Linked DNA regions of Xenopus tropicalis. The main gene of each other region encodes a partner of the protein of the gene in region 4 in a complex. Links are inferred from orthologs where the notes say so. Each region holds a gene or a part of one and is shown on either strand. Other genes may lie near its edges. The genes, in order: gtf2f1, gtf2e2, polr2c and gtf2f2.

What was found.
Region 1: gtf2f2 (region 4) and gtf2f1 share a complex: the UniProt entries of both Homo sapiens proteins name them as parts of the TBP-based Pol II pre-initiation complex. The link is inferred for Xenopus tropicalis from reciprocal best matches to the Homo sapiens genes GTF2F2 and GTF2F1.
Region 2: gtf2f2 (region 4) and gtf2e2 share a complex: the UniProt entries of both Homo sapiens proteins name them as parts of the TBP-based Pol II pre-initiation complex. The link is inferred for Xenopus tropicalis from reciprocal best matches to the Homo sapiens genes GTF2F2 and GTF2E2.
Region 3: gtf2f2 (region 4) and polr2c share a complex: the UniProt entries of both Homo sapiens proteins name them as parts of the TBP-based Pol II pre-initiation complex. The link is inferred for Xenopus tropicalis from reciprocal best matches to the Homo sapiens genes GTF2F2 and POLR2C.

Annotation. Positions count from the first base shown.
Region 1 is NC_030679.2:140,872,545-140,880,955, reverse strand, and holds the start of gtf2f1 (general transcription factor IIF subunit 1), read right to left. Parts: upstream 5,095-8,411; 5' UTR 4,503-5,094; coding exon 4,491-4,502; intron 2,462-4,490; coding exon 2,415-2,461; intron 2,205-2,414; coding exon 2,132-2,204; intron 1,842-2,131; coding exon 1,648-1,841; intron 1,437-1,647; coding exon 1,266-1,436; intron 912-1,265; coding exon 703-911; intron 538-702; coding exon 393-537; intron 1-392. UniProt on the Homo sapiens protein: TFIIF is a general transcription initiation factor that binds to RNA polymerase II and helps to recruit it to the initiation complex in collaboration with TFIIB. It promotes transcription elongation.
Region 2 is NC_030677.2:83,788,898-83,797,148, reverse strand, and holds the start of gtf2e2 (transcription initiation factor IIE subunit beta), read right to left. Parts: upstream 5,643-8,251; 5' UTR 5,639-5,642; coding exon 5,482-5,638; intron 1-5,481. UniProt on the Homo sapiens protein: Recruits TFIIH to the initiation complex and stimulates the RNA polymerase II C-terminal domain kinase and DNA-dependent ATPase activities of TFIIH. Both TFIIH and TFIIE are required for promoter clearance by RNA polymerase.
Region 3 is NC_030680.2:76,282,097-76,290,622, forward strand, and holds the start of polr2c (DNA-directed RNA polymerase II subunit RPB3), read right to left. Parts: upstream 5,568-8,526; 5' UTR 5,543-5,567; coding exon 5,457-5,542; intron 3,924-5,456; coding exon 3,874-3,923; intron 3,668-3,873; coding exon 3,599-3,667; intron 3,027-3,598; coding exon 2,974-3,026; intron 1,891-2,973; coding exon 1,762-1,890; intron 320-1,761; coding exon 268-319; intron 1-267. UniProt on the Homo sapiens protein: Core component of RNA polymerase II (Pol II), a DNA-dependent RNA polymerase which synthesizes mRNA precursors and many functional non-coding RNAs using the four ribonucleoside triphosphates as substrates.
Region 4 is NC_030678.2:133,916,771-133,924,511, reverse strand, and holds part of gtf2f2 (general transcription factor IIF subunit 2), read right to left. Parts: intron 6,023-7,741; coding exon 5,879-6,022; intron 1-5,878. UniProt on the Homo sapiens protein: TFIIF is a general transcription initiation factor that binds to RNA polymerase II and helps to recruit it to the initiation complex in collaboration with TFIIB.

The DNA.
Region 1 (8,411 bases), on a different chromosome or scaffold from region 4:
AGGGCATAGTTCACCTTTAAATGCACTTTCAGTATGATGTGGCCATTGGTATTTGTAAGACAACTGCAATTGGTCAGCAGTTCTTCAGTTTGGTATTCTAAAAGCTATCTGGTTGCTATGGTGCAATTTACCTTAGCCAACCAGGCAGCTGTTTGAAAAAAAGAGTTGGGAATATGACTAAAGGAGGGCCTAATACACAGAGCAATAGTTTTTAGCTGCCGGGGTCAGTGACCCCCCCCCATTTAAAAGCTGTCAGAAGAGAAAGGCAGATAATTCAAAAACTATAAAAAATAATGAAGACCAATTGCAAAGTTTCTAAGAATGGGGCATTCTATAACATACTAACAGTACATCAGGTGAACCGCCCCTTCCGCACTACAGGTTTCCCTTACCTGCTCTCGTCCGACATGTAATCTACTTCCTGCCCCTCAAAATCCCCATCGTCGCTGTCCTCTAGAGCCTCGTCGTCCGACTTCTGCTTCTTCTTTTTCTTGCCCTTGGCCGGAGCTTTCTTCTGGGGCTTTGTGCGACGCTCGCCTGGAGACAGAGGGAACATGAGGGAAGCCATCTTTTGCCTTATACCCATCCCCTACTGTTTCATTACTTTCCATCAACATTTATACTTATACTAGGGAGCCAAAAGCTGGGTATAGGCAGTCCTAAACTGCTAATATCTCAAACCCCTACCCCACAATAACTTACCCTCCTCATCGCTGTCCTCGCTTTCACTGGAGCTCATATCAAGGTCATCCTCAAGATCATGGATTTTGAGGTCACTTTTTTTCTTCTTTTTCTTGCCCTTTCCTCCTTTTTCCTGTTTTCCCCCACCTTCCTCTTCATCATCATCTCCCACCTGGTCCTTCAGGCGACGCTGCTGCATAATGGTAAAGTGATTGAGGACTTTGTTGCGCCTGCAGGAAGGTGAAAGACAGTTAATCCGTGGGTCTTACAATCACATTTTATGCGTCTGGCAAGGAGACGGATCATTAAAGGGGACCCGTCACTCTAAGAAATTATTCCAAATCCTTTTCTATCATGTTAGTTGAGCAAAATAAACTTTCCTTACACTATATAAATTATTTAATTTTTTCCCTTCACTCTTGGAATTCACAGTCACAGTCTGCAGGCAGCCGCCATTTTGTGTACAGTATTAAGGCAAGCTTTGTATCACCCCAAAATCTTATGCATTTGCTATCATGAAGGCAAAAATGCCCTAATAAGGGTATATAATATGGGTGGGGGCCTTATTTGCTGCCTCTGGTTACCTTTCCCACTCCTGCTCCGCCTCCTCGGCCGTCAGAGTGCGATGCTTGGCAAGTGGAGTGAAATTGTACCAGTTGGAGACTGGAAATGCTTCAAATGCTCCATCTGCGCACTGTGTGAATATGTAGTAAGAGGCATTTTCCGTCACTCCGCCCTTCTTCACGCCTTTATACCTGGAGGGGCAGTGGAATCAAGTGAAATAAAGGATATTGCATCAGTGTTGCCCCCAGTGGTAGGAGGATAGAAACAAAGGATATTGGGCCAGCGCTGCCCCCAGTGGTAGGAGGATAGAAACAAAGGATATTGGGCCAGCGCTGCCCCCAGTGGTAGGAAGATAGAAACAAAGAATAGAATAAAGCCCTATGCTGTTCATTGCTGACTTACTTGCGTCCTGCCTTTCCATTCACTCGCAGAAGCCAAGGCTGATCCTCTAGTTTGAACTCCTTTAAAATGATCCCGTATTTTTTCCTCCTGGACTCCTCCCTCTGTTTGCGGTTATACTCGCTGCCAGCCCCAGATTCAGGCATCTCTTCATCCTGATACATCTTTTTGGCACTCAGGTCACGTTCCATACGAGCCTGAAGAAATACAGGTACCCGTCACAACTCACACAGATATACAGACCAATACAGCCACGCATTTGCTTTAGTTTGGCAGCAGGGGAATTGGGACTATGGCACATGTGACATTCTAAACAAAATTGCACATACATACTATAGACAGCCCAAACTTAATTATATAGTGAATCCTATCTAGAGTTACGTCATCCAACATAGGGAGAGCCCTGTGTATTTTTGGCTTGTGAGTATTACACTGTACAATGATTAGGATGCTGCCCTTTATGGATTATAAAATGGTAATCCTGTACCTGGTTCCACGTGGAGAAATCCACTTTATCCGCAGCATTAAATGCCATGAGACTGTACCGCTTATTTGGATTCCTGACCAACAGAGAGAAGAGAGAATGCATTGAATATCTATGGAGAAATATCAGGACACTGCACACAGTAAATGGGAAGGATATACTATCTGGGTACAGGGACATCCCAGGTTAAGCATGTATTCTCAGACATATTGATGTTACCAGGCTGGGAGAAGAGAACACAGCTAAGTGCACCCAGATATCCACTAGTAACAGACTGCTTACTTACCTGGGTACACGCACCACATACTCTGTAACAGACTGGCCACTGGTGCCCTGTGGGGAATGAGAATTTCAGTAAATACAGAGATAAAAGAGAAAACAACCATTACTGGATTTGCTCTGGCAGAAAGATATAAGAGTAGCAGGGCCACAGGCTGGGGAAGACGTCTGCTGGTCAATTTGGCACAGGGCTGGGAGACAAGGGGTTAAAGGAATGGGGCTGGGGAAGAAGTCTGCTAGTCAATTTGGCACAGGGCTGGGAGACAAGGGGTTAAAGGAATGGGGCTGGGGAAGAAGTCTGCTGGTCAATTTGGCTCAGGGCTGGGGGACAAGGGGTTAAAGGAATGGGGCTGGGGAAGAAGCCTGCTGGTTATTTTGGCACAAGGCTGGGGGACAAGGGGTTAAAGGAATGGGGCTGGGGAAGAAGTCTGCTGGTCAATTTGGCACAGGGCTGGGGGACAAGGGGTTAAAGGAATGGGGCTGGGGAAAAAGTCTGCTGGTCAATTTGGCACAGGGCTGGGAGACAAGGGGTTAAAGGAATGGGGCTGGGGAAGGGGTCTGCTGGTCAATTTGGCACAGGGCTGGGAGACAAGGGGTTAAAGGAATGGGGCTGGGGAAGATTGTCTGCTGGTCAATTTGGCACAGGGCTGGGAGACAAGGGGTTAAAGGAATGGGGCTGGGGAAGATGTCTGCTGGTCAATTTGGCTCAGGGCTGGGAGACAAGGGGTTAAAGGAATGGGGCTGGGGAAGAAGTTTGTTGGTCAATTTGGCTCAGGGCTGGGGGACAAGGGGTTAAAGGAATGGGGCTGGGGAAGAAGTCTGCTGGTCAATTTGGCACAGGGCTGGGGGACAAGGGGTTAAAGGAATGGGGCTGGGGAAGAAGTCTGCTGGGAGACAAGGGGTTAAAGGAATAAGCATTAGTAATGTCTGTTCTGTTAAAGGAGAAGTAAAGTTACAATCACTGGGTGGGGGGAGCCAAAATATTAGCCCCCCCAGTGATTGTGATCACTTACCTGAAACCCCCAGCCGGTGCTTCTATTGGGAGAAAACTGCCCCAGCCTGGGGTGTATGTGAGCCAGTGTTTCTCTTCCTGCTTCGGTCTTTGCCCACGCGCAGTAGAGTGAGGAGCCGACTAACAATAAAGCTGTCTGTTTCACTCAACTGCCCCGGGATTCAGAATAAAGGAGGAAGAGGAACGCTCTCTCACATATACCCTGGGCCGGGGCAGTTTTCTCCTAACAGCAGCACCAGCCTGGGGTATCAGGTAAGCGATCACTCAGTCATTTAGCCTTTCTTCTCTTTTAAAGGGGACATATTGGATAAATGGGAAAAACCCTAATCCTGTAGGCAATTATGAATAATATACGGTGCTGGTTTCCCTTTGGGCTAAACATTAATCCTATCTGTAACAATGGCCCCTTTATTGGCGCTCCCTATAGATCCTATCACTTCTCTGTCTGTGTTTGAAATGAGGGGTGGGCGTGTCCTAACGGTCCCTGCCAGAAGCACAGTAGGAGGGGAGTAGCCAGTCACAGCCCTGCACTCACACAAGCACAGACAGGCTTCAGTTCCCTATCAGGTCAGCCTAGCTGCTGATTGGTTCCTATATTACAAAGCAGTGTACAGAGTGCCGCCGGCTCCCCTGCACATCCAGAGAATTCAGCCAGCAGAAAGTGGAACAGATGGGCAGGACTAGTGGGGTTTTGGGGGAATATCTCAATAAATCAGTCTGAAACACAACTTTCATACACATTACATTCATCATTTTTATAGGATATGTCTCCTTTAAAAAGTAGCTGGCAGATTGCTAAAGCAAATGGGAAGAAGAGAAGAAGGAAAGAGTGTTACACTCACTTAGATTGTAAGCTCTACGGGGCAGGGACCTCCTTCCTACTGTCTCATACCACATGGCACTTACTCCCCATGTATTTATATTTATTTATTGTATTTATTATAACACTTGCCCTCCCTGTGTGTAATTGTGTATATTGTAAGATTGTACAGCGCTGCGTACCCTTGTGGCACTTTATAAATAAAGTTATACATACATACAGACAAACACAGGTACTTGTACACCACTTACCAGCGACGCCATCGCTTCTCAGGGCAGGTTCCCTTGGGATCTATAAAAGATAGAATTCAATTGTCTCAATACACACACACACAGACAGTTGCATGAAGCGAAGCGATAAGCATTATCCTGCCTCTATGGGGAGGGGCTGGTAAAGTCAGTACAAAGCCAGAATGGTGACCCTATATACAGTACATACTCACTAATGGGGTTATAGTATAGTTACTAGTATAGTATATATATATATATATAGTTAGTTTTCTGTTGGTGAGAGTAGTTTCAAGCCCCCCCCCCCCCAGATATATAGAGATGGGAGAGCTGTAGTTAGACTTGTCCTTGTTTGACTGACCCTTCCCTAAGGCAGTAGCATGATAGGAAGGCAATATAGAATGGAGTTCAGTAGGGAAGGGAAGCATACAGCACAATGACTTTCTATATATAATGATTAATGGCGCAGGTTAGTGGCTGTGCTACAGCCCCGGCTGAATGAAGCACCTGATGGGAGGAAAGTGAGGGCAGGCGTAGGGATATCCCAGTCCCAGCAGCGGAAGGAAAGTGTGAGAGCAGGCGTAGGGATATCCTACACATGAGCCGCTTACACAACACTCTTTCTCTGCCTCACCAACACACACAAGTCTCTCCACTGCAAACTTCCGGTCACCGGCTCCCTGGTACTTCCGGCGCAGCTTCCTGAACGTAGCGCAAGAAAAAAAAGGGAAGTTAGTTGGCGGCGGCCATATTTCATACTGGCAACAGAGGAAGTTCAGCGGCAGTGAATGGGCAAACTTTGACATATTGCTTACCCTGACATTAATTTCATGGGGAGCTCGGAATGCCTCAAATTATATCGCATTGAAGTATTTTAATGTAAAAGTCACTCCCCTCTATCAGAAATGACTTAAACTGGGTACAGGGTGAGGTTGAGTTGGGATTCAATACCCCTTATCTCAACCTGGCTCTCACATTCCATTTGTAAGGTTAAAGGAACAGTAACACCAAAAAATGAAAGAGCTTTAAAGTAATAAAAATATAATGTATTGTAGCCCTGCACTGGTAAAACTGGTGTGTTTGCTACAGTAACACTACTATAATTTATATAATAAGCTGCTGTGTAGCCATGGGGGCAGCCATTCAAGCTGGAAAAAAGGAGAAAAGGCACAGGTTACATAGCAGATAACAGATAAGCTCTGTAGAATACAATAGTGTTTTATCTGTTATCTGCTATGTGCCTGTGCCTTTTCTCCTTTGAATGGCTGCCCCCGTGGCTACATAGCAGCTTATTTATATAAATTATAGTAGACTTTCTGAAGTAAACACACAACTTTTACCAGTGCAGGGCAGCAGCACATTATATTTTAGTTACTTTTATACACTTTCATTTTTTGGTGTTACTGTTCCTTTAAAGGGGAAGTGTGACCCAATATTGTTACACCCATTACTGTCTGTATATGAATGTAACTGTAACCCATCATGTACATAAAAGTGCACAGTGCAATATAACAACAGAGTCCCTTGGATGATTTATGTGCCTATTGGGTTATCCATTCCATCAGGTGGGTAGGAAGGTTGCCTTGTTCTATCCCTATCTGTGGGTTCAGGCAAATGCCAGAGGGGCTGCTGTAAGATGCCATAGTCACTCACTATTTATTGGGCCTATGGGGGGGGGGCTGTTTGGGCCTCTGTATACTGAAAATCAGGCCCAGACTGGCAATCTGTGGGTTCAGGCAAATGCCAGAGGGCTGCTGTAAGATGCCATAGTCAGTCACTATTTATTGGGCCTATGGGGGGGGGGGGCTGTTTGGGCCTCTGTGTACTGAAAATCAGGCCCGGACTGGCAATCTGTGGGTTCAGGCAAATGCCAGAGGGGCTGCTGTAAGGTGCCATAGACACTCACTATTTATTGGGCCTATGGGGGGCTGTTTGGGCCTCTGTATACTGAAAATCAGGCCCGGACTGGCAATCTGTGGGTTCAGGCAAATGCCAGAGGGGCTGCTGTAAGGTGCCATAGACACTCACTATTTATTGGGCCTATGGGGGCTGTTTGGGCCTCTGTGTACTGAAAATCAGGCCTGGACTGGCAATCTGTGGGTTCTGGCAAATGCCAGAGGGGCTGCTGTAAGGTGCCATAGACACTCACTATTTATTGGGCTGCTGGGCGGCTGTTTGGGCCTCTGGGTACTGAAAATCAGGCCCAGACTGGCAATCTGTGGGTTCAGGCAAATGCCAGAGGGGCTGCTGTAAGGTGCCATAGACACTCACTATTTATTGGGCCTATGGGGGGGGCTGTTTGGGCCTCTGTGTACTGAAAATCAGGCCCAGACTGGCAATCTGTGGGTTCAGGCAAATGCCAGAGGGGCTGCTGTAAGGTGCCATAGTCACTCACTATTTATTGGGCCTATGGGGGGCTGTTTGGGCCTCTGTGTACTGAAAATCAGGCCCAGACTGGCAATCTGTGGGTTCAGGCAAATGCCAGAGGGGCTGCTGTAAGATGCCATAGACACTCACTATTTATTGGGCCTATGGGGGGCTGTTTGGGCCTCTGTGTACTGAAAATCAGGCCCAGACTAGCAATCTGTGGGTTCAGGCAAATGCCAGAGGGGCTGCTGTAAGGTGCCATAGACACTCACTATTTATTGGGCCTATGGGGGGCTGTTTGGGCCTCTGTGTACTGAAAATCAGGCCCAGACTAGCAATCTGTGGGTTCAGGCAAATGCCAGAGGGGCTGCTGTAAGGTGCCATAGTCACTCACTATTTATTGGGCCTATGGGGGGCTGTTTGGGCCTCTGTGTACTGAAAATCAGGCCCAGACTGGCAATCTGTGGGTTCAGGCAAATGCCAGAGGGGCTGCTGTAAGGTGCCATAGACACTCACTATTTATTGGGCCTATGGGGGGCTGTTTGGGCCTCTGTGTACTGAAAATCAGGCCCAGACTGGCAATCTGTGGGTTCAGGCAAATGCCAGAGGGGCTGCTGTAAGGTGCCATAGACACTCACTATTTATTGGGCCTATGGGGGGCTGTTTGGGCCTCTGTGTACTGAAAATCAGGCCCAGACTGGCAATCTGTGGGTTCAGGCAAATGCCAGAGGGGCTGCTGTAAGGTGCCATAGACACTCACTATTTATTGGGCCTATGGGGGGCTGTTTGGGCCTCTGTGTACTGAAAATCAGGCCTGGACTGGCAATCTGTGGGTTCTGGCAAATGCCAGAGGGGCTGCTGTAAGGTGCCATAGACACTCACTATTTATTGGGCTGCTGGGCGGCTGTTTGGGCCTCTGGGTACTGAAAATCAGGCCCAGACTGGCAATCTGTGGGTTCAGGCAAATGCCAGAGGGGCTGCTGTAAGGTGCCATAGACACTCACTATTTATTGGGCCTATGGGGGGGGCTGTTTGGGCCTCTGTGTACTGAAAATCAGGCCCAGACTGGCAATCTGTGGGTTCAGGCAAATGCCAGAGGGGCTGCTGTAAGGTGCCATAGTCACTCACTATTTATTGGGCCTATGGGGGGCTGTTTGGGCCTCTGTGTACTGAAAATCAGGCCCAGACTGGCAATCTGTGGGTTCAGGCAAATGCCAGAGGGGCTGCTGTAAGATGCCATAGACACTCACTATTTATTGGGCCTATGGGGGGCTGTTTGGGCCTCTGTGTACTGAAAATCAGGCCCAGACTAGCAATCTGTGGGTTCAGGCAAATGCCAGAGGGGCTGCTGTAAGGTGCCATAGTCACTCACTATTTATTGGGCCTATGGGGGGCTGTTTGGGCCTCTGTGTACTGAAAATCAGGCCCAGACTGGCAATCTGTGGGTTCAGGCAAATGCCAGAGGGGCTGCTGTAAGGTGCCATAGACACTCACTATTTATTGGGCCTATGGGGGGCTGTTTGGGCCTCTGTGTACTGAAAATCAGGCCCAGACTGGCAATCTGTGGGTTCAGGCAAA
Region 2 (8,251 bases), on a different chromosome or scaffold from region 4:
GCAGGCAGGGTAGGGAAGGTAGAGTATGGCACACACAGGCAGCATAGGGCAGGCAGAGTATGGCACACACAGGCAGGGTAGGGAAGGCAGAGTATGGCACACACAGGCAGGGGAGGGAAGGCAGAGTATGGCACACACAGGCAGGGGAGGGAAGGCAGAGTATGGCACACACAGGCAGGGTAGGGCAGGCAGAGTATGGCACACACAGGCAGGGTAGGGCAGGCAGAGTATGGCACACACAGGCAGGGTAGGGCAGGCAGAGTATGGCACACACAGGCCAAGTATGGCACAAACCAGCCAAGAATGGCACACACAGTCAACGTATGGCACACGCAGGCAGGGTAGGGAAGGTAGAGTATGGCGCACACAGGCAGCATAGGGCAGGCAGAGTATGGCACACACAGGCAGGGTAGGGAAGGCAGAGTATGGCACACACAGGCAGGGTAGGGCAGGCAGAGTATGGCACACACAGGCAGGGTGGGGCAGGCAGAGTATGGCAGGTTTTTGCTGTACTATAACCATTAATATGGGTATGGTCATGTGATAACACAGGTGTGGTTTCAAGTGGGTGCAGTTTCAAAAAGGGGAATGGTCAAAACTGGCTTCCATTATCGGCCCTCCACTACGTAGGTCGGAAAAATTCCGGCCCTCGGTACTACAGAAGTTGGACAACACTGGTCTAGGCTTTTGAGAGCTTTAAATCATTTAAAGTGTCAGTGTGCTCTGTCAACCTGATATTTGTTTTCCTGCTGCATCAGATTGGTTTTCCCTTCTACAAGTTACAAGTATTGCTACTAGCAGCTAATGAAAATATGTAATAATATGTTCTACTGCAGTTCTTATTGATATCAATAGAGGGACCTATTGAGAGTACTGGATTGTTGGTATAACAACGGCCCTAAGCTCCAAACAAACCAATATGCCATAGGCTTAGAGCACCAAATAATAACAGTTATTGATTATTTTTGTAGTGTTTTTGTTAAGAACTATTTGTGAAAAATATTTTAAACCTCCTCTAATGACAGGTTTAATTATTTTTTTAGTCCAGTTTTATTAGAGAAGGAATGCAAAACCTTTTACATTTTTCCTTCCAGGCTGCTGCTTCTCTTCTATTAAAAAAAAAACAAAACAAAAAACACATAGGCTCAAGGTTCTTTTTATCTGAGGAACCCTTGCAGTGTGCACATTACAGGCAGCATAGGGCAGGCATAGTAAGGCACACACAGGCAGTACTCTCCCTGCCCTATGCTGCCTGTGTGTGCCATACTCTGCCTGCCCTATGCTGGCTGTGTGTGCACCATACTCTGCCTGCCCTATGTTGCCTGTGGCAGGTGAACCTGGCAGGGGTTTGTTCTGGGAAGTTGCTAGCATTTGTAAATAGTCATTATATGGTCCCTAAGGTGTGTAATTATATGCTGGGGGTGTTGCTCTACTATCCACAGGGGAGAAGAAGGAGGCGAACATGTATTTAAGGGTATGTCTTAATACACACATAATACATTATTATATGACCTAATACATTTTTTTAACATATGAATGAGGCAGATATCCCTGCAGTGAGCACCAACCATTTGGGTTTTTGCTGCACTACCACCATTAATGTGGGTATGGTTTTAAAAGCTGATAGCATGGGTGTGCTTTGAAGTGGGTGTGGTTTAAAAAGGGGGAGGTGATAAAACTGTCTTCCTTTAACAGCCCTCCACCATGTAGGCCAGTGTTCCCCAGCCTGTGGCTCATGAGCCACATGTTGCTCCCCAACCCCATGGATGTTGCTCCCCGTGGCCTCAAAGCAGGTTGCATAAAAACCCAGTATAATGCAGTAGGCTGCCAGTGCACATGTGGGCTATTAAGTAACCAAATATGGCTCACAGGTATAAAAGGTTGGGGATCTCTGATGTAGGCCCTTGATACCACAGAAGTTGGAAGTTGTCCCAGTGCATTTGACTTTCCTTGCCATTAATAAAAAAAATCCAATATTAGCACAATGCACAGCTGACATCTAATCATACCAATGCAGTATAAAGTACAAGTTTGGCATCTGTTGTTTTGAATGATGCACCATGCCTTAAGGCTAATAAGAATTCCAACCAATATGGATTTTTGAGAGCTCTTTATTACTTAAAAAAAAACTAGTTAGAAAAACATTTAAATTGTTCATTTCACTTTGACACTATAAGAAATAGCTCTGTCATATTTTAGTTCTTGATAACAGATTTCTGCATAATAGGAGTACAATGTGACTTTAGAAACTAGCTGCAAGAACCAACCAATGAAAGGGTTATAGGACTGTGGGATTAGAAAATAGCAAAACACGCAAGTGCATTACTAGACAATAGTGATGAGCGAATCTGTACCATTTCGCTTTGCTGAAAAATCCACATAACTGCAAAAAAATTGTGAAACCGGGAAAAATTGGGAAATGCATTGAAGTCAACACATGACAAATTTTACGTGTGATAAATTGTACACGCAAATTGTTTTTTTCTTTACTCCAAATGCATTTTTTATATCAGTGTTATTTCCATCTCTGTAACAGATGCATCGATTGTTCCGCAGTTTCGCAAAAATATTTGCCGAAATGCAGAACTTCCCTGCGAATCCATGCCTGGTGAAGAAATTCACTAGATAAATAAAAGTATATACAAATAAAGAACATAAAACTGGATTACAGTTTAGTGAAAAGACAATCTGAAAATCTAAGAGATTGCACTAAAGATAATATTTGGGATGAATGCATATTGTGCAACTCTCCTATATACCCCTGTTGATTGGGTCTTTGTTAAACAAGGGTTTTATTTCAGATCAGACAGAATTCTTCAAATGTTTATCCAGGCACCCTAGTTCAATCATGAATGGTCTAACTGTATGAAAAAACTTCCAAAAGTTGTTTTTTAGGGTTTTATATTGTTACACGAGACTGCCCAGCTATGTACAATATACAATGAAACTTTTACATCCCTTGATTTTACGCTTTTCTGCACTTTACAATGTTTTTTTGCGATATCACCAATATATAATGCATTTGCGTGATTTTACACCATTTTTTCTTGTCCCCTACAAGATGGGGGGTTCTATTGCAGTGCTGTCCTGTTAATTGTCTCCTATAAGTAAAACCCGTTTGGTTCCTTTGTAAGCAATTAATCTCAGAAAGGAGACTGGAAAGTCCATCAATAACTGACTGGCTCACCGATTACAACGTTTTAATGGAAAATTTGATACAATCAATGCAGGTTGCCACAAAGACCATCCCACAAACAGGTGCTGAAGCACATGCTTACGTAACATGTTACATTTAGGGATACTGTAACAATTGTCAATTCTCTAAGTTTTTGGCGAGAAGTCCTAATGTTGCAAACCTAAAACCATACACTTGGGGGCACATTTACAAAGGCACGAACGCTCGAGCGTTCATGCGAACGCTCCGAGCGTATTTTTGCCGATTTTTTCGGGCGTCCGCACGACTTTTTCGTACGCCGCACGACTTTTTCGTACGCCGCACGACTTTTTCGTACGCCGCACAACTTTTTCGTACAGCGCACAACTTTTTCGTACAGCGCACAACTTTTTCGGACGTTTGCACGAAAAAATCGGAAAGGTTTTACCGCTGTTTACAATTGTTCGGTACGAAAATTTCGTGACTTTCGGATCGCCAATACGATATTATCGTGACTAATAAATTTTCGTTTCCAATACGATTTTTTCCCTTTCGTGATTCGGATTCGTGGATTAGTAAATGTGCCCCTTGGATTAGCAGGCTAAATCAGATAGAAAAACACTGCTCTGCGGGTATTCTGCAGGTATTTGACTTAATGCAGAACTTCCCAGTATAATAAATCTGCATAAAAAAAAAAAAAAAACTTGCAATGCATATCTTGCATATCTTCTACACTGAAAAATTTACCTTTTAATCAATCTGAAAAATTCTCATATGTGTGATACTTAGTCATATGGTCAGCCAAAAGTAATTTTATCATGAAAATGTTAAAGGCATGCCCAAAAACCAGAACAAACAAAAAAAAAAAATTTCACCAGTAATATAAGAAAACAATCTGTATAAAATTGTGGTTTACACCTGATCAGAGGTTTCAGTGCAAAGTTTAGCAATAGGAAATATGGGGAATAGATATGCCACTGCTTGATATATTAGAGAAACTAAATGTAAAAAAAATTAACCTCTTTTGTTTAGATATATTCTTTTTTTTAGAAATCTGAACAAAAAAAAAAAAGCTATGAAAGTGGGTAGATGTATTTAAATGGGCCTTTACAAAAAATTTATTTGTAGCATCAACCCAACATGAACTCTCATCTGAACCGCTAGAGCAGCATCCAACATTTTAGGAGTATTTTAAAAAGGTGCATTAAATTGCACAATACATCCACAATTGTTCTGTATCAAAATACATGTATGGAATCTATTATCTGTAATGGTTAGGACCTGGGGAACATAGAGCCCCATGTCCTAAGTCCACTAATGACTCTCATAATATAGCTGTCCCTACTATTATGGATCTACCACCATGTTGGTGGTAATAGACACAGAGTTGAAGGCATTATTTTTCTTTCTGCAAATGTTAACATGTCCAGATTTTGAAAAATGTTTATGCATTTATGGGTGTTGCTTCTATTGGTGAGTTTGAATTTGCTACTGGGAGTTTCACTTTAATGATGCAATTTCTCCACATTTGGAATATGTTGTCATGATTTTAATGGACATTGAAACTGCAATTATTTTGAAGTTTCAATGTCCATTGCTCCTGCATCAATCTTTTGAAACGCTCTTAGCTGGTTCATGCCAATTTAAAATTAATGTACTGAAGTGCTGACTGTCAGACCGCTTTTAGATCTGACACATACAGCTAACTGTAATGTTTTTTCTTTAAATTGTGAATTATTAACTTTATACATAATGTTCTTTTTTATTTTGTGTTTGCTTTATTTTTCCCACTCACAAACATACAGTAGCAGAATGTTTACAGCAAAAGATTTAACAAAAACTTCAGTCAAGTGAATCCTAAGGCCCACTTACAGATGCAAGAAGAAATGCAAAGAACTAGGTTTATCATAAAATTACATTGACATAAAGAAAGGCACTAGTGATGAGCGAAATTTTCCCCATTAAAAAAAACATCTATAGACTCCAACGGTGGAGAAAATTACAAGAGAAAAAGTTGTGTGGTAAAAAATAGTGCAGTAGCTGTGAAAAAACGCCAATTGACATAGGGGGTGTGGTTGCAAAAATGGGCGTGGTCAAAAAATGTGGCATTTCTTTTTGTCCCTCTTTCCATTTTCAAAAAGTTGGGAGGTATGCTTTAACAATATGTCTTCACCTTTTTAATACAACAATATTTAGCCCTTGGGCTTCACTACAGCATCATTTTGATTTGTGCCCCAACACAAAAGTACAGTGTGCACAGTAAGAATTGTTCTGCAGATTAATAAAAGCTGGGAATAAGAAATTAATCATTCATTGGGGTTACTGACCTAAGCTTGGCTTGGATCCCGAAGTGCCACTAGGTTCAAGTTTGGCTCTCTTTTTCTTTGAAGACTCTGAAGAAGCACTTGGACGTTTTTCCACAGCTGGTGTGGTCAAGGCTCGCTTTTTAAAGAGCTCCCTGTCTCTTAGTAGGGCTGGATCCATGGTACTGTAAATAAAACAATAAATAAAAAATGAATTAGCCTTGTACAGGTATCGGACCCTTTACCCGGAAACCCATTATCCAGAAAGTTCGGAATTACGGAAAGGCCATCTCCCATAGACTCCATTTTAACCAAATAATTCACATTTTTAAAAATGATTTCCACCAAGCTTACTTTTATATGTACCACATCTAATGCAGTAATAAAATAATATAGTACTCAGAAAGAATGGTTTAAAATAATCATATTTTTTCAACACATTCTTACATATTTTGCCTATATTGGAAACATATAATTTAAAATATCCATTAGGCATTTAGATTCAGTTCAGCAGAACCCAAAAGTGGCTATAAAGCTTTGGACAACAGAACATTTTGTTCACAAATTATGATTTTTTGATTTCTCAAATTAGGGTTTGGTGCATTCAGTGCAAGCCTAGTATTCATTGCCTTCGTGCTGGTGTTGTTACAAACATAACTTTTTATAAAGCAAAGAGGTTTACATATTTGCATACTGGCACAATGGCATATGTTGCAAATATCTGTGTATAATCAAATACATGTTCCTTTAACAATTTTTACAATACAGGTATGGCACCTGTTATCCAGAATGCTCGGGGCCTGGGGGTTTTCCGGATATGGGATCTTTTCCATAATTTGGATCTCCATAACTTAAGTCTGCTAAAAATCATTTAAATATGAAATAAACCTAATAGACTTGTTTTAAGGATTATTTATATCTTAGTTGGGATCAAGTACAAGGTTCTGTTTTATTTTTACAGCAAAAAGGAAATCATTTTTAAAAATTTGAATTATTTGATTATAATGGAGTCTATTGCAGATGGCCTTTCCGTAATTCGGAACTGTCTGGATAACGGGTTTCCGGAATAAGGGATCCCATACCTGTACTAAATAGAAGATGATTATTTTTTTTTTTAGTGGGGAATTTTAGCCACTTTGCCTATTTTATTTAAGACATTTACTTAAGACACTGACCAAACCACCCTAATAGCCATTTATAATAATATATAGAATACAAATAAAATAAAAAAAAATTTAATGCCTTCTACTACATTTTTGAAGGCAAACTGTCCCTTTCACATGTTATATGTTATATATATATATATATATATATATATATATCTTTGTGGAAAAAAGTATGAATATTTTCTACAATTTGTTATAAAGGCAGATAGTCTTTTTAATTTGTTATATCTCTGTTGATGTATCCCTGTGGAATAAAAGTATGAAATAGGGCTAAAGTCCACAAGTGATTTTGTCGAATGGTGTCAGATCAATAAAATGCATTCGACAAGTCAGATGTAGTCACGTGGGTCAAAATATGATAGGACTGATACAAAAATCTCATTTGTTAACTATATAGAAAATATTGTCATGCAAGACAATAAGCCTGTCATAAGGGAACACTGCATCCAACAAAATAAAAACTGATGGTGTTAGAAAGACTTTTGGATGTTGATCGGAAAACATCCGATTTAATCTTATGCAACATTACATTACAGCCTGTGGAGATCAGATTTTGATCAAAATCTTGTGTATGTAGATAACGATTTGCCACTGTTATATATACATTTTATTGCCCATGATTTGCTTATAAAACAGCAAAATTGGTTTACATAAACTGTTTGGAGTATAAATGGACCAGAAAATTTTAAAGGGATTGTTTACTTTCCACACACTTTTTTTAGTTTAGATATTTACAAATAGTACACCAGCAACTAGTTAGTTTCTTTTTTTATTTTTGATCTTATAATATAAACTAATTTTCCTTCCTCTGGCAATTCAGACTATCAGCTCAGTAAGTCAGATGCAGACTCTTTTACAATTTGCTCCATTAGTTGACACATTTCTCAGCAGCATCAGAGAACTTCGACCCGTATATTATAATCAAGCTCAGAAAGTATGCTCAGTTGTAAAGGTAGCCATGAATTCAGCAGCGATATCTGCTAATAATCGGCCAGGTGTAGATCGGGGAGGCTTGATTTTTCTGCCGGATCAAGGGATACATGAGCTCATTTATACGGTCCTTGCTCTGACTTTTTGTATACCCTTCATTGTAATGCAATCTTTGGTTCTAGGGCCAAATGATTGCATTATCATATCACCCACCCATGATGGGAATATCACCCACCCATGATGGGAATATCACCCACCCATGATGGGCATATCAAGGAAAAGATTTGAATTACGTGTTAGATGATTGGGTCTGGGACTGAGGCAGGGGATATTTCCAAAGGTAAAGAATGTACTCAAGCCTTCTTAAGGATCACACAGCCAGCTCTCTGCTACTGGAGACATTAAGCAAAGTCAGATTGTCACTGGTGGTAAGTTTTTCCAGGGTGAGGCATGTACTAAAAAAAAAAAAAAAAAAAATCTGGGCCATTTTTTTTTTTAGTAATACTGTCATTTTCCAAAGGCTTTCAAAGGAACATGTCATTATCACTTTAAAAATATTTCACTGTCCCAATATTAGTCAGAACATGCATCAAGCGCTAAACAATTGTGCAACACGCATTTAGAAAAATGTAGTATATTGTAACATTGCTTGAAATTATGTTTACTTTTCGAAAAGTTTAAGTTGTGTTTTTTAAGAA
Region 3 (8,526 bases), on a different chromosome or scaffold from region 4:
GGGATGGAACTAGTGGTAGCCAGAAGAGGCACATGCCTAGGGCACAACAGAGGAAGGGGGAGTGCAAGGCATATACCTCATCTTCCTGCCTACTTTTAATTCATCATTTTATAATTCCTACTCTCAGACCAGGCGAGGGAGGCGACTATGCAATAGTAAATAGCAGGGATGCTCTGCTCGTTGCCACTGCATTGCTGCCCAAGGGTTTGGGCTTACCTTATTGGCACCTCACATTTGGCCCACAACTGCTTATATCTAAAAACTCACCATCTTGCTCCACGTAGTCATTAGGGTCATTGTCTCTGCTTCGTGATGTCACCTGCAAGGAAAAAAATGTCTATTCAGGTGACACTCAAGGTGTTAAGCAAATAGAAAAATAAATAAAAAAATAAATTGTCAGCATCTTTGTGAACAGTGTTTACCAACTTTGTAACCTGAGTAATCTGAAAAGAAGGAAACTGAAAAAGTGAATGAAAGGCAGACAGCCCCTTTAATTCCTTTTTAATGCCTTTTAACTCAGGAAAGTGATTTGGTACACCAGAGGAGACATTGCCTGGGTTATTAGTATCACAATAAACCAGTGAACTAAACAATTTTTAATAACAGAACAATTTAAATCAGTTCGACCTTATTTGCACAACGGCACCCCTCAGTTACACTATTTCCCTATCTAGGGGTTACTTCACCTTAAGGGCTCCTTCAGTCACAAAAAAAAAAAAAAAAAAAAATTATATATATATATATATATATATATGTTGCAAGAAGACAGGCACTCACGTATAAGTAGGTCCAAGGGAGCGCAGTCCCAAAATAATAGATGGAATAGCTGTAGAGAGAGTCCGCACTCACAGGTCTTAAGAAAATATAGAAGTTTTATTCAAATCAACATCTAACGTTTCGGCTGCATCCACAGCCTTTCTCAAAGACAATGTGAAACAAACAATGGTGCACTGAAAAAACCGAATTTGGCGCCAAACAATGACGTCATAGGTGTGAATACATTAGCATACAGTGTGAAAAAAACGCTCTCAAAACACATTGAATCAACATGTTAAGATAATATGGATTAGGCATAGAACACAAACAAAAGGACTGTCAGGAGAAAGGAAAAGTGGGTGTGTATTAAAAAAAAAACTAGATACATAAGCGGGCTTTTTTAATACACACCCACTTTTCCTTTCCCCTGACAGTCCTTTTGTTTGTGTTCTATGCCTAATCCATATTATCTTAACATTTTTTGTTGATTCAATGTGTTTTGAGAGCGTTTTTTTCACACTGTATGCTAATGTATTCACACCTATGACGTCATTGTTTGGCGCCAAATTCGATTTTTTCAGTGCACCATTGTTTGTTTCACATTGTCTTTGAGAAAGGCTGTGGATGCAGCCGAAACGTTAGATGTTGATTTGAATAAAACTTCTATATTTTCTTAAGACCTGTGAGTGCGGACTCTCTCTACAGCTATTCTATATATATATATATATATATATATATATATATATATATATATATATATATATATATATATATATATATATATAAAACATAAAAAAAGCTTTCTGGAGCAAAATAATACATTTTAACATTTTTAATTGAACATTAAAGGAAATAAACATTTTTTAAAGCCAACTTATTAGGGATGTACTAAACTCAATGTTTATGGATTTGGTAAAGTGGCTGATTAGATTCAGCAGTATCCAAACACATCACTAACGTACATAATCAATTCTGAGCAAAATGAAAATAAAACAGGAGACTGACTGGTATAACGCGGAGGTTGTTTGAGACAAGATCACGAGAGGTCACATGGCGTGTCTGGTCTTCATTGCATCGGACATCCAAAGTAAATTCCACAGAGCACTCTGGACAAAACTCATCACATGTACAATCCTAGTCAGAAGATTTTTGGAGAAGACAAAACTGCATTGTAAGAGCAAGAAGCTATGGCAAGTTTTATTACAGATAGCCTAGATAGAAGTCTGAAGAACAGATCAAAATGAGCTAATAAAATCTCAGCCTTGAAGATTTGGAAATTCATCCTAGTAATCATCTGATCAGAAAATGTATATCCATCTCACTAAAATGCCTTTCCACCAGTGATTTGGAAAGGCGCATGCGGCGCTTTATTTTCCAAAGTCACGTGAAGTTGCCTGCAGGAGGAAACTTCACTTGACTCCAGAAAAATGAAGCAATGTGTATGCCTTTCCACCAGCAATTCACTTTGATGCCAGTGGAAAGGCATTTGGGGGAGATTAGCCACCCACGATACCAAAGATTAACCATGTCCGACTTATCTCCCCGTGAGCCATGAGCCTAAAGGGGTCGCTCACCTTCAGATAGTACACCAGAAATAAAGGCTTTTTTTCCCCCAACTGCTTTTATTTTTTCTGTTTTTCTAATATTGAAGTTTCATATTTCGCCTTTTCATGTCTCCATAGAGCAGCTGGGGAATAGGGGGCCACTGTTCTAATTTGATACATTAGTTGATAATCTTTTATTTTTCACCCTGCTTGGCATAATACCTGAGTTTCATTAAAGGCAGATGACTGCACATAGATTACTTAGCACCAAACAACAGAGAGAAAAAACATTAAAAGGGATTGTGACACTATGCCTACAAAAACCCTGGTGCTGCTATTCTTTTCTAATGGGTGTGTCCCCCTGCCTCCCCCCTACTAACCTCTTTTGCTATCTAACATGGCATGAGTTGAGCAGCTTCCTGGTTTACTGGGGTTGGGGCACTGTTTAAATTGGTCCTTCATCTTATCAAAAACTTGTCCCACCCCCAAGCACTCCATCACTCACAAAGCTGTTGAACTCCAAGCCCTGCCAGAGACCAACACAGGTTATTAACGTATGGATGTCTAGAAACGCATTCCTGTTAAAACTCTGAAAGTGTCACTATACCTTGAAAGGTGAACAACCTCTTTAATTTAAAATAGATTTAATTAGTTTCAAATACAAAGCACTTACCCTAGAGTACTGCAGTTTATCTACTATATCATCACTGGTCAAAGGGATCAATCCTAAAAAGAGAGAGAGAGAAATGCAGAATTAGACAATAACACACTTGCACTATTATTATTATTAAAGAGATACTGACACCAGAAAAAAAAACCTTTTTTATATCTATCATAACACTGTCTTTTCATGAGCTTTATAATTTTGCCATAAAAGTATTTGCAAGATGCTTTTACATTACCTATCTGATCTCCCATGTCCCTCTATGAGGGAGCGGCCATATTTGTGCAGCAGGAGTCCGTTAGCATTAGAAGCTATAACTGACAGGCTGAGAAGGGACAGTCAGGTTGGGAAAACAGTCAGGTTTAAGTAGCAATTGCTAATAAAAGCAAACCTATCAACAAAAACTGATCAACATGACCTATTGGTAACTTTTTATGTAGATTCATAATTTAAAAAGTAGTTTTTTCTTGTCAGTATCACTTATCGCCAACATATTCCGCAGCGCTGTACAATAGCAACTGGAGTTTCTCCCTAATGGCAAAACAAGCTAGACAACGTATTGCTAGTAGTGCAAGTAGCCTTAACTAGAAATATTGCCCTGCTACTCAATGTAAATTTATCTTTAAGTACTTACCAACTCTGTGAGCTATGAACTCATCGTGAAGAACAGAGGAATTTGCATCTATCTGCACCCAATCTATAGCTGTAAAATAAAACATAAACAACAAAAATGTGTTATTTTAATGTAAGGGGCACCAGAATGCATTACAAGGGGTTTTGAGATCTAATGTAATAAAACATTAATGCTCACAAACACTGCACTGAGTGTTTCCTGTTCAGGTAAGCTTTATTGCAATCATGCTGAACAAGGGCCCTTTAACCTTTCTTATGCAGGACAAGAGCACATACCTATAGTAGGAACTTCTGCTATGAACACCCTACGGATCGAGTTAGCAATTCTGAAATAGAAAAAGGTTTATTAGTATTAGATAATTAATGGCTGCTTATACAGAGGAACAAGTGTAACAATTTTTCCTTTTACTCATTATTTTATAGCAATAATACCTGCATATTTTTAGCACTCAAATACACATTTCCTAAAAATGGTTCTATAAAAAATCAAGTGCAGCATGATTACTACCTTACATGGGAAGCAGTGTTCCATTTCTTCTAATTCTAAATTTAGTTTTATGCCTTTGAGGCCTCTTAAAGGAGACATATCCTATAAAAATTATGAATGAATTATAGTGAATTATACTCCTCTAGATATAGAACGATTGTGCTTAATAATGTTGTGTTTCAGACTGATTTATTGAGAAATTCCACAAAAACCCCACTAGCCCCGCCCATCTGTTCCACTTCCTGCTGGCTGAATTCTCTGGATGAGCTGGGGAGCCGGCGGCCCTCCGTACACTGCACTGTAGGATAGGAACCAATCAGCAGCTAGGCTGACCTGATAGGGAACTGAAGCCTGTCTTTGCTTGTCTGAGTGCAGGGCTGTGATTGGCTCTCCCCCTCCTACTGTGCTTCTGGCAGGTACTGTTAGGACACGCCCATTCTTCATTTCACACTAGGGAGCTCCAATAAAGGGGCCATTTTTACAGAGAAGATTAATTTTTAGCACAAACAGAAACCAGAACCGTATATTATTCATAATTGCCTACAAAATTAGCGTTTTTCCCATTTATCCAATATGTCTCCTTTACAAAGTATGTTAGCGATATTGGTATGAAAACATGCAGTTTTTTTTTTTTTAAATGAACCCTTTAGGTGCCAGGCACTATATAATCTACTAACAGACACAAAAGGTGAACTAGAAGTTGCTCCTGAACACATGGGAAACCAAAAGGGTTAAAAGAACTACCAAAAATAAATATTCTCAATCAAAAAAGGTTAAAAAGAAGAATGGGCATCCATGCAAACAGGTGACCCTGAGGGAAATGAAACAGTTTCATACAGAAGCACCAGAAAATAGTGGAACCCAAAGAAGGAGTGATTACATTACATTAACATTTATTTATAAAGCGCCAACATATTCTGCAGCGATGTACAATATGTGGGTTACATACGCCTAACAGCCAACTTGTCACACCTCTATCATGTCTTTAGTTGCCCTTTAGAGAAGAGATGCGTCCAGGAAACCAGTGGTACCCAGCATGACATACGTCATCATATGGTGATATAGTCACACTATTATTTACACTTTTAGGATAATTAGAAACAACAGAATAACACAAAGTAGATACATGACACAATGGTGAATAAGTACCACATCATACCTAGCCGAAGTTGGAAAAATAAAAATCTAAACTCTATTTCCACCTAACCATTCCCTCGCACTTTACCACTCATTATAAATGTGGGGGTCTCAGGAATTGGGATTCGAGAGACAGGCAGTCTGGGGCAGCGAGTATGCAACATGCACACCACACATCGTTCTGAAAAAAGCAATTAAACCCATTATTCTGCCATAACAGTCAAAGGTCTCTTACGCCAAGTCAGTATTTTCCACGATAAACTTGACATTCTCGTCAGTGAGCTCCGTTATCCGCACTGTAGGCTGGTTCGCGTACGGCATCCTCTCAACACAGCAACTTAGAAACCGGAAACCGGAAGTTGAGAACCGGAGACCACAGAGATCAAGCGCGTACAGAAAGGGGTTGCCTTTCGTGGCTACAAACAATAGAGTTTGAGTTCTATATGGATCATTAACGATCAGGATGACTAGTTAAAGGCGGTGTCGGACTGGGGCACCTGGTACCCATCACCTAACATTGTAGATCATGTCTCAAGTATATTGCAACAAAATATGGGGCTTTAGCGGTAAATCTGAAACTTTGGGGTCTAAAAATGCACTGAGCATGGTGCCAACATTTTTATGCCGTTTGCCACACACTTTAGTTATAGTTACCCAGACATACACTTAAGATCACTGCGTTAAATAATTTATGATCACATTTACTCTAGACCTGCAGAAATTGATAATGTAAGTATTAACTTTACACATGCCAGTAAAATGAATGCAGCAAGTAGGTATCAGCACATTTATCTCAGGCATGTCATAAACCTTTCTTCTTTATGCCTTCATGCTGCTTGCCCTGTTCTGTCAAAGACAATTATATCTGTTCTTCTATTGCTCCTTAGATCCTCATTCTCTTACCTGCGCCACCTCTGAAAGTTTTGCCTGCATAAAAAATTAAAGATGGCGGAACACATGACCATTTTTAACTTAAACTCCCATTCAACACGAAAATGGTTTTGTTTCGGGACATAGTCGCCAGGCCTGGTGGGGCCCAACAAGGTGAAGGATAGGTGAGCAGGTGGCTAGGGCTTATCACTGAAGCATGAATTTGCCAGGGCCCAGCAAAGTGCTGGGTGGGTTGGGGCCATAAAGGAGAGAGGTGGGCTGCCAGCAGGGTCTAGCGGGGCCCAGCAGGATATTAGTTGTAATATTGGTGTGTAGGCAGCAGTCTCAGTGCATTGTGTCTGAGTCTTCAGAAAAAGCCAGCACTACACATTAGAACTGTTTTCGGCAATCTGTTGTTTCTCCTACTCCCATGTAACTGGAGGAGTCCAAAACCGGACTTGGATTTTTTACTATTGAGTGCTATTCTGATATCTAATGGGAGCTGCTATCTTGCTACCTTCCCTTTGTTCTGCTGGGAGGGGGGTGATATCACTCCAACTTGTAGCTCAGCAGTAAAGTGTAAATGAAGTTTATCAGAGCACAGGTCACATGGCTGTGGCACCCTGGGAAATGAAGATCATGGCTAGCCCCATGTGAAATTTTTTAAATTAAATATAAAAAAAGTTTGTCTTTTCGAAAAACAGATTTCAATGCAGGATTCTGCTGGGGAAGCTCTATTAACTGATGCATTTTGAAAAAAACATTTTCCGACGACAGTATTTCTTTAACTAGAAACAATGCTGAATGGCCAAAGAGGTGACTGATAAATTTGAATATATGTTTATAAGCAAATAATCTTCACAGGCAAGATTAGGTTTCCTACTTACCCCAGTAAATACACTGCAGGGGACAAGATGTAATCAGAAAGGTACGTCACAATTTACCAATATACCTGTGTTATAAGGGAATACCAAACCAAATGAAAGAGATGTGAGTCTTGATTCTGGAATTTAGAGCAGTTGGCATCAGGCCTACACTTCATCCAGTTTTAAGGTTTGATGGATAATTATAATCTGGATCCTTTGTAGATATGAGGAAGCTAAACTGATCATATTTGTCCACATTTATTGGAGAAATCATGGTTTCACATTTATTTCTGGTCCTGCTGTTTGTGAGCTCATCAATATTATATATATATATATATATATATATATATATATATATATATATATATATATATATCTCCATTATAGAGGGAATTTAATTTGTAGAAGTGGACAAGATCTTTTGTTCTATTTTTGAATATTTCTTTAATATGCTTAAGAGTAAATCCATAAAAATCAGGGCAAAGCAGACAAGACCTATGTGCACATAATTATGTTCCTGAGGCTACAATGTCTAGCATGAAGCTATCAAAGATCCACAACAGAGGTCAAGCAATTGGCCATTTACGGCAAATCTCAAAAAGTGTCATCCAGTCACAGTTCACTGTCCAAATACCTAAAACAACTCTTACTGGTACTCACCACCAGGATCACTGGCACATGAAGTACTAGGCCTTGCCACTATTTGTTGCAGTTGAACCATGTACTGGCACAAATAAAGACAGCAGACCAGAGTTCCAGGGCAGCATCAACTTTGAAGTAAATTCAGTTTTACTGAGTCTCACATGCTTTAACTCAGTCGCACATGCAGCTCTGCTGACAGGAAAATCTTATTTTCTTACACATTTATTTAGGGACATAGGAATATCTGAGCTTCTGCTCATGGGAACATGTTTCTTATGTGAGAATGTAAACATTTCCACCCATCTGATATTTAATAAAATAGACAAAGATGAAGGGGATCCTTGGCTTGTTGTGTTACAAAAAAAAATCAGAACTTCTGTATAATCAGAGAAAATTGTAAAAGAAAATCCATCTAAAGGTTTAATAGAAATAGACAATTACAAAGGAACCCACAAGCTTAAATCTTTTCAGTGAAGTAGCATATAACTATGAATCATGTTTGGCCTGAAGAGTTACAAATTAAATTACTTATAAATTATGCATCTTCTAGAAATGTAGAACTCTACAGCATAACCACATTCTTAAGAGTGAATTATACTCCTCGCCTGGTACTGCCATTTAATTCATATTCATCTGCAGCTATTGGTAATGCATTACCCCAAAAAATTTACACGAAAAGCATAACATTGGCTGGAAATGGAAAAATATTTTCTTTCACTGGGGGAAGAAGTTGCAACTGTGGCAATTTGGAGCCTCCTTTTGGAATCTTTGGCCTTCTGAAGCATAAATGATGAGAAGCTGTATTGACTGGGGAGTGCCAGTATGTTAGTCACTCTTCATTGCATTCAATTTCTATGATTATTCTCTGGACCACGGGGCACAGGCTGGTATATTCCTAAAGCAGTGTTCCATTGCTGACTTAACTGT
Region 4 (7,741 bases):
TTTCTGTCAATAAACTTTTAGAGATAGAAATCAAGGCAATACTGTAAATAGGGGCACAGGAAGCTGGAATGTGATAAATCTTTCTAGAAGGAAACGTAATTCAGTAAGGGTGCAATCCAGAAGTGCTGCCTGGATCTGAATACATAATGTCTTATGTGCCGCAGCAGTGTCCTGTCAACATGTGTTAATAGGAAGACTGAGCTGTCAGTCTTTAAAAGCTGGGCCATTGCCACTGCTGAGTTACAGGTAACTGGCAGGATTACTGGAACTTGGGTCTTTTACTTCTTCCACGTTTTAAGTAAAGAAAAGAACAGCCAGAGCACTTCTAAGCAAGCAAAGGGAATTTTCTTACATTCCACTAGATGGCAGCAACTGACCACTTTAACAGCTGCAAGACTGAAGATAAAACAAATATTAATAAAAGAAGTAATTAAATTGTGTTAATAGCACTCTTTTCTATATGACTATTATATAGGATTATTCCCAAAGTCATGCAAATGTACAGTTACTGTTAATATTCGGAATGCTAGTTAAGCATACCATTAGTTCCTCTGTAAAAGAACATTGATGGAGCTCATGGCCAAATTTCAATGTTCACAGTATTATGTTACATTTGTGAAATCCCTCATTCTTATTACTGTGCTGTCACATTTCTAAGGCTGTCAAAGGGAGAGTCGAGACATCTCTACAAGCATTATTCTGCCTACTGATCTCCTGGCAACGCCCATGGGAACAACAGAAGTTACAGGAGGAAGCATTTAATTTGGAATACACAAATATTTACACATGGGAGGGGTCTCTTCACCCCCTTTTACACTTTTACACACATAAAAGGCCTTGAGTAGGGAGACTATCAAATATGAAATAATCGTACTCTGCTACTAAACAGGAGGAGTAGATATACAAGTGTGTATGGAGGGTAAAGGAAGCCCTCTTTCCTGTTTGGTGGCTTCTTTAGTTGGTTGCCATACTTGTTTTTTTGCTTAGGAAGATTTCCAAGGAAGTTTGGAGTCAATTTATCTTGGCACAAGTCCTGGTGGGGATGCCAGACAGAGTGTGTTTAAATTTCACAAAGGGTTGCCAATTGTTTTGGAAAAACACACCCACTTTTCTAAGCTTGTATCTCTTTACTATTAATAACACTGGCATCCTTTTTAATGGCTAGGTGGTAACCCTACTATTACCCCGTGTCAGGGTATATACTAGCTGAAAGCTAGCTAAACCTAAAGCAAATGGAGCAGCAGGTGCTTGTGCATGAATGTGAATGCTGCCCCGGGCATCAAGGACTTATTATACAAGGGTTTATCATCCTCCCACTCCCACAGGTACTATACTGTATCATCCTCCCACTCTCACAGGTACTATACTGTATCATCCTCCCACTCCCACAGGTACTATACTGTATCATCCCACAGGTACTATAATGTATCATCCTCCCACTCCCACAGGTACTATACTGTATCATCCTCCCACTCCCACAGGTACTATACTGTATCATCCTCCCACTCCCACAGGTACTATACTGTATCATCCTCCCACTCCCACAGGTACTATACTGTATCATCCTCCCACAGGTACTATACTGTATCATCCTCCCACAGGTACTATACTGTATCATCCTCCCACTCCCACAGGTACTATACTGTATCATCCTCCCACTCCCACAGGTACTATACTGTATCATCCTCCCACTCCCACAGGTACTATACTGTATCATCCTCCCACTCCCACAGGTACTATACTGTATCATCCTCCACTCCCACAGGTACTATACTGTATCATCCTCCCACTCCCACAGGTACTATACTGTATCATCCTCCCACTCCCACAGATACTATACTGTATCATCCCACTCCCACAGGTACTATACTGTATCATCCTCCCACTCCCACAGGTACTATACTGTATCATCCTCCCACTCCCACAGGTACTATACTGTATCATCCTCCCACTCCCACAGGTACTATACTGTATCATCCTCCCACTCCCACAGGTACTATACTGTATCATCCTCCCACTCCCACAGGTACTATACTGTATCATCCTCCCACTCCCACAGGTACTATACTGTATCATCCTCCCACTCCCACAGGTACTATACTGTATCATCCTTCCACTCCCACAGGTACTATACTGTATCATCCTTCCACTCCCACAGGTACTGTACTGTATCATCCTCCCACTCCCACAGGTACTATACTGTATCATCCTTCCACTCCCACAGGTACTGTACTGTATCATCCTCCCACTCCCACAGGTACTATACTGTATCATCCTTCCACTCCCACAGGTACTATACTGTATCATCCTTCCACTCCCACAGGTACTATACTGTATCATCCTCCCACAGGTACTATACTGTGTATGTTCTAAAGGCTGAATCTCTAGCAGAAATGAAATAGTTTTTTTGTCACCTGGCATCTATAATATCCCTATCACCCTTGCTCCATTCCTAAATGAACTCTTTTGTTCATTTCTAGTTAGTTACAGTGGAGCTCTCACGGGACTGCATAGCTGGGAAACAAACCAATGTTGTGTATCAGTGCCAGTGTTATAGTGCCAGGGCCTGAATATCTGCCATCAGTACCCACTGCTTCTCATTGCATAGAACGTGCTGGTTTTGTACATATAAACTCCATTTGACTGTACATAATGTGCCTGGGATGTCAGCACCCACTGCCTTTCTCACTATGAAACTAACTAAAACAAATTTAAGCTAACTGATCACAAACACAAATAGATGAAGCACACCTCACCTAAGTATATGTATAAATACTTTTACATCCTAAACTTTTAGGGAAAAAAAAAAAAAGGATTCCCACCCTGGAAGTCAGTGGGAACCACAAGAGAGAGTTAAGGGGTTCATTTTTTATGCCAGCAGCGAATCCACTGAGTCTCACATTTCACATCTCAGCTTTAAGTCAGGCAATGTATGGCCAATCTTTAGCCTCCCCAAACAAAAAGGTCACCCTCCGCCTATGACAAGACAGCAGAGGAGTCACAAAAAGATAAAGTGAAAATACCTAAAACCCACACACAAAACAGAAAACCCTGTAACCTTCTTACCAGCATGGTAACCTCATTCTGGGCCTCTGACAACAGGGACCGTAATGAACCACTTACACACAGGTGCTGGGGTAACACAGGAAGTGGGTAACGTGAGATGTTTAAATGGCAATAGGGCTCTCTTAGCAGATTTCAGTGGCAAAGATAAGTGGGGAAAAAAGAATGTGAGTGGCATCTGCCGGGACAGGGACTTATCTTTTGCAAGAACAATATGAAAATGATGCCTTAGAAGTAAATAAGAAAAAACAGGCACAGCAGTAGATGGCAGGCAGAGAAAGAGCACTGGGATTTCAGAGAGAAAATCCCTAAGGCCATCAAACCACCGTGTGCAAGCATGGGCTGCAAAGTGAAGCATCTAGCAGCTGAATACAAATCAAAAGGAGCAGGAAATATTCCAAGCATCTGCTCACGAAATGAGCCCAAAGAAGAATAAATGCAATTGGAAGGAAGGTGCATTTGTATTGACAGGTATGGGATCCCTTATCCGGAAACCCATCATCCAGAAAGCTCCGAATTACGGAACGCCCATCTCCCATAGACTCCATTTTAATCAAATAATTTAGAATTTTAAAACGGATTTCCTTTTTCCCTTTAGTAATAAAACAGTACCTTGTAATTGATTCCAACTAAGATATAAATAATCCTTATTGGATACAAAACAATCCTGTTGGGTTTAATTAATTTTTTAGTAGACTTAAGGTATGGAGATCCAAATTACGGAAAGATCCCTTATCCGGAATACCCTTGGTCCCGAGCATTCTGGATAACGGGTCCTATACCTGTACATAGATCTGATAATTGATCTTAAGCCTTCTGCTCTAACAAATGAAATCCTTTAATGCTCATAGCTCAGCACTGTAACACGGAATGGCTAGCAAGTAAGTGGAACAGGAGGGAAGCGGCACAACGTGAGCTCTCATAGTTACGGGGATCTTTTCATCTGAGCTAGAAACCAGTCAAGCAGCAAGAGGATACAGCAAAAGATATAAATACATGGGCTCCTGTAAAAACTGTATAATAACTGCCCTATTAGGAAATAGGTCTCCTGTATATATTGCCATATTCTGCATTAGAGCCATTGTATTCAGTCCAACTAATGCCTTGTCTTCCTTGGGAATAAGGAGCATATGTGTGAAAATAGCAAACTTTGCCAGGCTACAATCACATTAATATTTTATAATATTATTAAGTTTAATTACAGAGTGCTAAATATATTATGCACCACTGCCTCCCAAATGAGATGTGTTAAAAAGCAAGAAGATGAAAAACATTCATTATCTTAGATTTTCGCTGAACTGTGAAAGAAAAAATTGAAATATGAATATTAGCCAGCATTATGGATGGCTCCGATTTCCACTGTCCCTTTGCTGCTGACCTCTGTGTTTATAAGCATTAGCAGCCCACAGGGGCAAAGGGGTGCCAAAAGGGGAAGCAGAGATCATGGAGGGTGAAGATGGAGCATGTAGAACAGTAATCCCCTACCAGTGGCTCGTGACAAACATGGATGTTGCTCCCAGTGGCCTAAAAGCGGGTGCTCGTTTTTGAATTCCTGGCTTGGAGGCAAGTCTTGGTTGCATAAAAACCCAATTCCAAACAGCGCCTTCTGTAGGCTGTCAGTCCACATAGGGGCTATTAAAGGAAAAGTAACACTAAAATCTTTTAAGTAAAAAAGCTATTCTACCCTGCACCAATAACTGCCTTATCCTGCAAACCACTTAGTATTTAATGCTTTATTTTAAATGCTTTAATAGAAAATACCTGCTAAAACACAGAAGGAAGGCTAGGCTCGACCAATCAATCGATGCATAGTGGATGCAACTCCTTCCTTCACCGTATCGCTGTAGTTCAATTGACAGTAAGCCAAGTTTTAGCAGCTATTTTTTATTAAAACATTTAAAATACTAAGTGGTTTGCAGGATAGGGCAGTTATTGGTGCAGGGTAGAATAGCTTTTTTACTTAAAAAACATTAGTGTTACTTTTCCTTTAAATAGCCAATTATTGCTCTTATTGGCACCATCAGGAACCATTTTCATGCTTGTGTTGCTCCCTAACACTTTTTCCATTTTCCATGTGGCTCACGGGTATAAAAGGTTGGGGACCCCTGATGTAGAAGGAGGAGCAAAGTTGTTGAAAGGGAAGTTATGTAGGGATGGGCACACTGGGAGACGCAAAGGTCAGGGCAGTGGGAGGGTACAAGGAGAATGGAGGACATACTCAGTACTCAGTGCAACACTGGTATGAAATATACCCAGAGCCCAGTACATTGTATTCGTGGCTATATGGATAAGTATAAAGCAATTTTTCCTTTTTTTGGGGCTGTTGAACTGTACAGAAGGCCCCTATGAGTAGGGCAAAAGGTATGGGTTTAAAAAAGGTTGAAATTACTATACATATATTAGGTTGAAATTACTATACAATGGGAGCCAAGACCTAGATTTATAGTGCCTACATACATAGCCATGACTGCAAAAAGCCATACATACATACATACATACATACTGTACATACATACAAAGCCATGACTGCAAAAAGCAGCAAAGCCTATCCTGCAGAAATCTATCTACACAAGCAGTGGTTTCCCTCCTCTATGAGTGATGTAACCCTATCAGCATTATAAAACCTTGGAGCACTTCCTAGTGACCCTGGCAGATACGGATAGCTGTTCCTTGATGTGTTATGTGTTATGCTAAGGAGCCATGTTATTAGGATGCCCAGAGACATATGAGAGTTGCTCAGTTGCCTTAGGAAACTGTCTTTTTTTAAAACAATCATTTTCCCTCCTTGCAGTCACAGACACTCTCAGGCACTCACCACGGGTTGCTTGGTAATGTCCACGAGATCCTTAATGTTGTAGTACTGGTGTTTTTCAAATGCAGAGAACAACATATCCAAAACCTGGTGCTTATCTGCTCGGGCTCGCTTGCCGTCATCCTTTTTCTTCTTCTCGTACTCAATCTGCACAGACAATTATGCACAAATTAGCAGTTACCAGATTTCATTCTGCAAGTGATATATTTACATTCTATGAAAACCAGACTATATAATGCACCATTGCCCATTATGACCACAGTCTAATTATCTATAGCAATCAATTAGCAGGTAGAATTTGCTGGTCACACCTGTTTAAATGGTTGCTATGGGTTACTGCACCTTGGTAAACAATGTGCCTTTTATTACATATAATTTCTTCTTATTCTGGATACACCCAAAATGCTTGCCTTGAGGTAATAATTCTCCATATGTAATTAAAAAGAGTTAACTTGAGAGAAACATGGAATGGTAGTATGGTGAGGGTCAGGCTTGTACTGGCCAGCCGTCGTACCACGGCATCTTCTGTTTGATTCCAATGTATCACAAGTCCCATCAACTCATTTGCCAAAGTCGCCCAAAGTTTCCTCTCAAGGCAACTTCAGCATATCACGGCGCCGCGTATGCCATTTACATTATAGCCAGTGGGATGGCATTGTGGGGAGATAAGTTGCCCGCGACAACAAAGATTTGTCGTGCGGCGACTAATCTCCCCATGTGTCACTGCCCTAAGGTGAGAAGATTCAAATTTGCAAGTTTGAGGCTCAATTGACAGCTGCCCTACTGAGAGTTTTTGCCTTCCAATGGGGTAGGAAATCATGGCAGGAGCTCCGGTGCATGCCTACTGCAGTTTCCATATTAAGCACATGGCCGTAGTATCTTAATCATATTAACCCTTTTCCTGCCGGTGACCCAGTGGGTTTTAGGTCCGCAGTTCAGGAAAGACACGTTGGTAGGCAATGTGTTTTGCAGTGGCGTAAAAACCTGGAAACACAGGTACAACGTTGCTGGCATAATGTCACAATCCCCTGACGACAACATAGTACTATTTGCTTGGATGTGACTTTATTTTAGGAATGGTGAACTGGAGGGCCACAGGTTAAATATGACCCTCAGATAGATTAAGGCCTCCAGAGTGTTCAAAAGCCCCACCAGGCTCTTTGGATGCCAACATATTACTATATCTATGGGATCTTTTACGAAGAAACCAGTTATCCAGAATGCTCCAAACTAGAGAAAGGCCCATCTCCCACAGAGTCCATTATAGCCCAATACATTTTGTAAATGGAAGATGCCATAGACAGTAACTGTTTATTGGACTGGTGGGGGGCTGTTTGGGCCTCTGTGTAGGTGAAATGCCAGGGGTATTTTAAAGGAGAAAGAAAGGCTAAATAACTATGGGGGTGCCAAATGTAAGGCACCCCCCCCAGTGATTGTAATCGCTTACTGGATACCCCTGGCTGGTGCTCCTGTTAGAAGAAAACTGCACCAGTTGGGTATATGCGAGCATACCCCAGCTGGTGCAGTTTTCTCCTAACAGTAGCACTGGAAAGGGGTTTCAGGTAAGCGATTACTGCGGGGTGTCTAACATGTGACGTAGCCTTTCCTTCTCCTTTAAATTACAGTCCAGACCTGGAGGTCATGTCACATGGGGGCAGGGCGATGACATCACATGGTGTGCAGACTGGGTGGGGAAGGGCACTGGGCAGGCTATTCTTATAAGGGGTAATTCAGCTCAGGGAAGGGAGGAATTTATAGGGTATTACAAAGTTACCGGCAACTACACTGCCGGTAAATTTGTAGTTCCAGCCCTGGCTGGTGATTTACCAGATGGGCCAGTCATATACCGGCCTGGGGTGGCAACCC